Callithrix jacchus: one gene and its partner. The protein of the gene in region 1 purifies or fractionates together with the protein of each later gene. This does not show direct contact. Links are inferred from orthologs where the notes say so. Each region holds a gene or a part of one and is shown on either strand. Other genes may lie near its edges. The genes, in order: INPP5E and PDE6D.

The links.
Region 2: the proteins of INPP5E (region 1) and PDE6D purify together in Homo sapiens (affinity purification with mass spectrometry; 3 studies listed by BioGRID and IntAct, with this or other methods). This does not show direct contact. The link is inferred for Callithrix jacchus from reciprocal best matches to the Homo sapiens genes INPP5E and PDE6D.

Annotation. Positions count from the first base shown.
Region 1 is NC_133502.1:184,908,883-184,913,117, reverse strand, and holds the start of INPP5E (phosphatidylinositol polyphosphate 5-phosphatase type IV), read left to right. Parts: upstream 1-1,150; 5' UTR 1,151-1,499; coding exon 1,500-2,317; intron 2,318-4,235. UniProt on the Homo sapiens protein: Phosphatidylinositol (PtdIns) phosphatase that specifically hydrolyzes the 5-phosphate of phosphatidylinositol-3,4,5-trisphosphate (PtdIns(3,4,5)P3), phosphatidylinositol 4,5-bisphosphate (PtdIns(4,5)P2) and phosphatidylinositol 3,5-bisphosphate (PtdIns(3,5)P2).
Region 2 is NC_133507.1:153,172,765-153,176,568, reverse strand, and holds part of PDE6D (retinal rod rhodopsin-sensitive cGMP 3',5'-cyclic phosphodiesterase subunit delta), read left to right. Parts: intron 1-884; coding exon 885-1,010; intron 1,011-1,725; coding exon 1,726-1,831; intron 1,832-3,804. UniProt on the Homo sapiens protein: Promotes the release of prenylated target proteins from cellular membranes. Modulates the activity of prenylated or palmitoylated Ras family members by regulating their subcellular location.

The DNA of each region.
Region 1 (4,235 bases):
CCTTATTAGGACCATAGGTGATTCTGTGCACCCAAAGTGCTGGCCACCACCCACCCACCAGGTGTGGCCCAGTCACTGGGAAGGAGCCGACTGTCTGACGTGATGGCTCCGGGTGGCCATCTGGGGTGAAAACGCAACTGTGACGTTTGATTTGGGCTTCATTTTGCGTGTGGGAGCTGCTTAGACTCACTGTTAAGGAGGCTGGATGCCGTTCTCTAAACGGCTGCCCTTCCCCCTTCCGTGAGCACTTTCCGTGCTGCAGGCCATGTGACCCACTTTCTCACCCGGGGGACACTGGCTTAGGGGTCGGTAGCATCTTGGGGACAGCAGCTCTGGCACCTGGTATTTCTGTCCCGATGTCCTGGTGGACTTAGCCCTGTGGAACTCAGAGTTCAACGCTGATGCAAAGCTTTAAGGCTTCTCTGACTGTTCTGAAAACTGTTCATATCCTTGTTATGTCTAAAGAGACAAAAGATTTAAATACTAATAAAACTCAATAGATAATTTCTGCGGGTTGGTGTTTTAAATTTCAGTGTAGAAATGGTAGAATGTGGGATCAGCACGGGCCCTTCCTGGCTTTCTGTTTCACTTGATCATTTAGCAGAGACCCCCAGGATGTTTCACAGGCGTGTCTGCCTGATCCATTTGTCCTTGTCACTTGGAGAAAGGCCTGTCCCTGTGACGGGGCAGCCCGCTCTGTCCCTTGGTCAGCTCGTGTGGTTCCAGGGATCTCCTCCGGTCCGCCCTGCCTGCTGTTCTGGGGTCGACTGCCACGATTTTTGATTCAAGAAGCTTCCTCCAGGCGGAAGCAGCTATTTTTCCTAAATGCGAATTGTTACATTGCAAATTGTTGAATAAAATATTTTGCGCTCCTTCAAGCACCTTCACCTGTGGTTCCCTTTGGTTTGCTAGAAGCGCGTGAGTGCAGGTGTCCGCAGGCCTGGCCCTCGCCCAGGTCCTCGCCGGGACCTGCCGGGTTGCCCGGCTGCGGGTTGGGGGGGCGTGGGAGCCCTGTCCGGGCCCCGCGCGGCGCGGTCCTCCGGCCGCCAGGGGCCGCTGTGGACGGCGCGCGGGGCGGAGACTGGGCGCGGGGGCGGGGCCGGGGACCGGGCGCGGGCCCGCGGCGGTCGTTGCTAGGGCCCAGTCGGGCAGACTCCGCCTCCGCGGGCGCGAGTACGAGGTCGGCTTCGAGTCTGCGGGTCCGGCCGGGCTGCCCGGGTCCTGCCCTCCTCCCAGGCGGCGTTCCGGTCGCGGTCGAGCCTCATCCGCGACAGCGCCCACCCGCCTGTCCTCTCAGGCCCTGCCTGCGGCCCGCCCTGGGATCGGCGTCGGGGAGCCCGGAGGGGCCGCGGTACCCGGGGTCCGGGCGATGCGGCAGCCGCCCCCGCCCCTCCGCGACCACTCCCGGCCCGAGCGGGAGCCGCTGCGGCCTTTCGGCTCCGTGCTGCGCCACCGACCCCGGACCCGGCACCCGTGACCCCTCCCGGGAGGGCCCGACCATGCCGTCCAAGGCGGCGAGCCTGCGGCCCTCGGAGCCGGCCCCGCGGCCGCCGGAAGGGAGGATGCTCCAGGGACCGCTTCCCGGCGCCGACGGAGCGCTGGCCCCGCGCGAGGGGTCCCCACCCGACGCTCCGGGCCCCGAGAGCCCCGCTCTGGGTTGCAGCGCTCCGGCCACGCTCAGCGGCGAGGAAACCCCGGCCCAGGCAGTACCCATCGCCCCGCGGCCCCCCGCCAGGCCTCGGCTGGAGCGAGCCCTGTCCCTGGACGACAGAAGCTGGAGGAGGCGGCGTTTTCGAGGCAGCCAGGAAGACCTGGAAGCCAGGAATGGGACCAGCCCCTCCAGGGGCTCGGTGCAGAGCGATGGCCCCGGCGCCCCCGCCCACAGCTGCTCCCCGCCCTGCCTGAGCGCGTCCCTGCAGGAGATCCCCAAGTCCCGCAGGGTCCCGGGCAGTGAGAGGGGGGGCCCGTCATCGGGGGGTGACCCCCTCTTCGGGGTGGCCAGCAGCGCCCCGAACCTCCTTCACGGAGACGCCACCGTGGCGGGGAGCTCGCCCAGGCTGGCCAGCCTGCTGCCCCCGCGCCCCCTGCCTGCCCTGGGCCTGGACATCGCCTCCGACTCCCTGAGGACCGCAAACAAGGTCGACCCGGATCTTGCAGACTACAAGCTCCGCGCGCACCCCCGCCTGGTGCGCGCCCACAGCAGCCTGGGCCCCGCCCGGCCCCGGAGCCCCCTGGCCTGCGACGACTGCTCCCTTCGCTCGGCCAAATCCTCCTTCAGCCTCCTAGCGCCCATCCGCACCAAGGACGTCCGCAGCAGGTAGGGCGTGGGGCGCAGCGCCCGCGCGGCCTTCGGTGTGGTGTTCAGGAGCAGGCTGCCTGAACCCTGCCAGTGGCTTCCCGTCAGCAGCGTTTAAGATGCCTAAACAGAAAAAACGAAGCCGGTCTCCCGCAGCCACCCGGTCTCCCAGCCCCTCCCCGCAGCAGCGAGCGCCCTTCCCGGCTCTCCCAAACTTCCTAGAACTTTTCCTGTGCGTTTCAGAACCATTCCTGGGCATGATGTCGTGTTGAGGTAGATAAGATGGCACCCTGCATACAATTATGGATCTGGCTGTTTTTCTTTAGTCTTGGGAATTTTTTTTTGAGACCGAGTCTCGGTCTGTCACCCAGGCTGGAGTGCACTGACCCAACCTCGGCTCACTGCAGCCTCCGCCTCCTCGGTTCAAGCGATTCTCCTGCCTCGGCCTCCCGAGTAGCTGGGATTACGGGCTTGCACCACCATGCCTGGCTAATTTTTGTATTTTTAGTAGAGACTGGGTTTCACCATGATGGCCAGGCTGGTCTTGAACTCTTCACCTCGTGATCCACCCAACCCGGCCTCCCACAGTGCTGGGATGACAGGCGTGACCGCCGCACAGGCGGGCCGAGGCGTGGGAATGTTGTCAGCGTGTGTGACCTGCCCTCTCGATGGTTTTTGTTTGTTCCCTGCTCTGTTGCCCAGGCTGGAGCACAGTGGCGTCATCCTGGCTCACTGCAGCGTCCGCCTCCTGGGTTCAAGGGAAGTGATTCTCTCTTGAAGCGATTCTCCTGCCTCAGCCTTCAGAGTATCTGGGATTACAGGCGCCTGCCACCACACCCGGCTAAATTTTGTATTTGTAGTAGAAACGGGATTTCGCCATGTTGGCCAGGCTGGCCTCGAACTCCCGGCCTTGGCCTCCCAAAGTGCTGGGATTACAAGTGCGGGCCCCTGCGCCCAGCCCGCCCCCTTTGTTTTTTCTGCTGCAAAAGGCCCAAGATGTACTGAAGCGTACTTTCCGTCAGCCGCTTGCTCACGGGGAACATTTTGGTGGGCTCCAGCTGGAAGGAGCTGCAGCTGAAAGGAGCTGCAGCTGAACCCATGACCTCTCCCCAGCCTGGTCTTGTTTTGGGATCTTGGTCTGGGGGCCTCTCCCGAGCAGAAGCACCGGTGCGCCTTCGTTTCTTCCCCTCCCCGCTCCATGCTACCCACGTCTTGTCTGTCTGCTGCGGTGGGAGGCAGGGCAGGTGTGAGAAGGGAGAGGTGAGAGCTGGTTTCTGCTTTGGTGTCCGGGGCGCAGTAACCCCTGACGACGGACTGGGAGGCTTGAGACAGCAGAGCTGGACTGTTTCCCAGTTCTAGAGGCCAGAAGTCTAAAATCTCAGCTGCGGCCAGGCCAGCCTCTCTCCAGAGGCTCGGGGAGGGCCCTCCCTGTCTCCTCCTGCTCCCGGGGCCTGGTTGCCCTTGGCTTGTGGCCGCACGCCGCGGTCTCTGCCTCCGTCTTTACCTGGCCTCATTCCCATATCTCTGTTCCCGTCTCTTTTTATAAGGACACCGGTCGTTGAATTTACTGCCCACCCTAAATCCAGGGTGATGTCAAGATCCTTAATTAAGTAAATCTGCAAAGACCCCTTTCCAAATAAGGTCCCACTCCCAGGTTCTGTGGGTCGAGGCAGATGTGGCTTTCGGGATCACTCTTGAGCTCACCGCAGACCCGGGAAGTAGCCTTACCTCCCTGCACCTGGGTTCCTCTGGCAGGCAGGCAGCTCAGCTCTGGCTCCCCCACCACACTCCCCTCCTGCCCGTGGATGGAGCAGCTGCGATCACATACAGTGCAAAACTTTGTTTTGTTGAAATAATTCACTGTGGGGCTCCTAGTGAAGAGTGAGATTTCTTAGTGTATCACACTTTAAAATTAAGTTCAGTTCACGTAGATACACCT
Region 2 (3,804 bases), on another chromosome or scaffold:
TCCAACCCTTTGTCTATACGGGGCCGTCACCAATGCCAGACTAGGGCCTGGGCATCAGAGAGCTAAGTTAACACATACCTAATAGGCTGGTGAGCCCCTCAAGACACAGCATGTTAATCCATGTGTTGTTGACAGTTTCAGTTACTTTCTTTTTTTTTTTTTTGAGACACAGTCTCACTCTATCCCCTAGGCTGGAGTGCAGTCACACAATCTTGGCTCACTGCAACCTCTGCTTCCTGGGTTGAAGCGATTCTTCTGCTTCAGCCTCCCAAGTAGCTGGGACTACAGGCGCATGCCACCACGCCCAGCTAATTTTTGTATTTTTAGTAGAGACGAGTTTCACCATGTTGGCCATCCTTGTCTCGAACTCCCGACCTCAAGTGATCTGCCCGCCTCAGCCTCCTAAAGTGCTGGGATTATAGGCGTGACCCACCACGCCCATCCCACTTCCCAAAACCCCACTTTGTGCTGAAATTTTACCATTAGGACGTATCCAAAGATAACTAAGATCTCAGCTTTTTTCTCCAAAAGAAAATTTTTCATTTTTATCTCCCTCAAATAAAAGAAGGGGTTAAAATCACCAGAAGAGAGTAGAGAGAAGGTACCTATGCAGCCTCCTTCCTGATGAGAGTAGCTAGATGAGGCCCTTAAATGAACAAAATGTGGTGTTCTGTGAAGGTCTAGTATCTTTCAGTTACAGGTGACCAATTGGAGACCTCTGCCTTCAGCCATACAAAGTGTAATGCAGTTACCAAGGCATTATCCAAAATGTAATAAATAAAGTGTTGTCTAAATCAGCTGTAAGAAACTCCCAGAAATCTGAAGCATCATAGTCAGGTGGTTTTCATTTAGAATGGCTTGAACATTTGTTTCTCTCTTATCAGCCCGTGTTCCCAAGAAAATCCTCAAGTGCAAGGCAGTGTCTCGAGAACTGAATTTTTCTTCAATAGAACAAATGGAAAAATTCCGCCTGGAACAAAAAGTTTACTTCAAAGGGCAATGCCTAGAAGGTATTCTGCTGCCTACATGCCTGAAATCAGGGCTTAGGGCAACCAGGACAAAAGGCACACCAGTGAACTAAAGCAGTGCTTTGATAACTCCTTTTACAACTCAGTTTGTGGTAGGATTCCTACACCCTGCAAGACTGGGGATCCCCAGTGAAAACAAACCAAAACAACGCTGGCCAATACAAGGGGCTTTGAGGTCTCTGACACTAGGAGCATGGGTGGTGCCTGGTTTAGGCACTGACGTTGTATTGTGATACGGTCATGGAGGAAGCTGCTGTGAGCAGGGCCTAGTACAGTGCTCTACATACAGTATCATACAGATTTGACTGGCAAGGCCACTCTGCATTGACTTCTCACCAAGCAGTGTAAGAGGGCACATATGCCCCTTTGAGCTAATTCCAGGTGAATTTAGCTATGTATCTATGTATAGTTCACATCTAGCCTACATCTAAGAAAATGCTGCTTATATTGTATCCTGCTTGCTGGTCCTAGTCCTTTAGACCTCAAATCAGGAGAAGCAAGCCTTTGGTGTGGTTCAGACGACAACCTAAAGGAGGCTTCCCTGTCTTTCTTTATGCCTCTGGTCTGGGAGGTTGCTGATAGCTTCCTTTGTTGGTTTTCATGGTAGAAAGAGGCTCACTCTAGAGGAGGGAAACAAAGAGCCCTTAAACTTTATACTGGGGCACCTGCTCACCCAGGCTTTTCCTTCTTCCTTCAGAATGGTTCTTCGAGTTTGGCTTTGTGATCCCTAACTCCACAAATACCTGGCAGTCCTTGATAGAGGCAGCACCCGAGTCCCAGATGATGCCAGCAAGCGTCTTAACGTGAGTGAGCAGGTCTCAGGAAATTATGAAGTGTGTCTAGAAACAGGCATTCCAGGCAGGTGGGACTCCTGATGCCATTCAGTGGGCAGAGAATTCAGCTGAGAAATAGAGTAAAAGGAGCATCCAAGGGTATCTAGGTTTCCAGGTTCCTGACCTTTTTCATATGAAAAAGACAGTGTGATAGAGTGGAAAGTATAAAAAAAACCTTTAGACCAGGTTTAAATTCCTGATTCACCCTGACTACCTGTGTCATCTTGGGCACTAATATACTTTATTTCTCTGAGCCTTAGTCTTTAATCTCTAAACACAGAATTAATAATTCTGTCTTACAGAGGTGTAATGAAGATAAAATGAAATGACATGAAAGGAGACTGCCTTTAATATATACCAAATCTATGTTAATTTGCTCTCATTCCTGATTATCATACTTCTGGTACTTCTGTATTTTGTTTAGATCACCTTTAACAGAATCTGGCAAAGTCCTATTAATAATTCTGTTTTCCCTAGCACTTTGGGAGGGTGAGGCGGGTGGATCACAAGGTCAAGAAATCAAGACCATCCTGGCCAACATGGTGAAACCCCATCTCTACTAAAAATACAAAAATTAGCTGGGCATGGTGGCATGTCCCTATAGTCCCAGCTACTCAGGAGGCTGAGGCAGGAGAATCGCTTGAACCTGGGAGGCAAAGGTTGCAGTGAGCCAAGATTGCATCACTGTACTCCAGCCCAGCGACTGAGCGAGACTCCATCTCAAAAAAAAAAATTAAACTTTTGAGTATAATACTTGGTTACAGTTTTTTGGCGAATAGCTCACCATATTTATAGCTTTACTTCCTCTTCAAAGAATAATTTGTTTGTCCTTTGTCCAAAAATACTGTCAATAACTTCTCACCTCCCATTTTCTGTGGGAAGGATGTTAGTCTCTCAAATGTTACAGTAATAGTACTTTCTAAAGAGTTAGTTCCAAGTTAACTCTTGGCGTGATGGCACATGCCTGTAATCCCAGCTATTCGGGAGGCTGAGGTAGGAGAATTGCTTGAACCCGAGAGGTGGAAGTTGCAGTGAGTCAAGATTGCCCCACTGTTCCAGCCTGGGTAACAGAGTGAGACTCTGTTTAAAAAAAACAGTAGGCCGGGCACGGTGGCTCACGCCTATATCCCAGCACTTTGGGAGGCCGAGGCGGGTGGATCACGAGGTCAAGAGATCCAGACCATTCTGGTCAACAAGGTGAAACCCCATCTCTACTAAAAATACAAAAATTAGCTGGGCATGGTGGTGCACGCCTGTAGTCCCAGCTACTCGGGAGGCTGAGGCAGGAGAATTGCTTGAACCCAGAAGGCGGAGGTTGCGGTGAGCTGAGATCGTGCCATTGCACTCCAGTCTGGGTAACAACAGCGAAACTCTGTCTCAAAAAAAAAAAAAAAAAGAAAAAGAAAAAACCAGTTAGTCCCACAGATAATTGTGTAATATTGGATCATCTCTTTCAACAGGTCCTTTATGAAAGCCATATTGAATCTGTTAAATTGAGGTTATTTACTTTTAGGCTTTTTGTTTTTTGGGTTTTATTTGTTTATTTATTTATATTTTTTAGAAACAGGGTCTTACCATGTTGCCCAGGCTGGACTCCAACTCCTGGGCTAAAGTGATCTTCCTGCCTCAGCCTCCTAAGTAGGTAGGACTACAGGCATGTGCCATCATGCCTGTCTCTACTTTTTAAGTTTTTGGGGTTTCTTTTTCTTTTTTTTTTTTTTTGAGACAGAGTCTCTCTGTTGCCCAGGCTGAATTGCAGTGGCTCAATCTCAGCTCACTGCAACCTCTGCCTCCTGGGTTCAAGTGAATCTCCTGCCTTAACCTCTGAGTTGCTAGGATTACAGGCACCCACCACCACACCCAACTAATTTTTGTATTTTTTTAGCAGAATTGGGGTTTCGCCATGTTGGCCAGGCTGAACTCCTGAAGGTCTTGAACTCCTG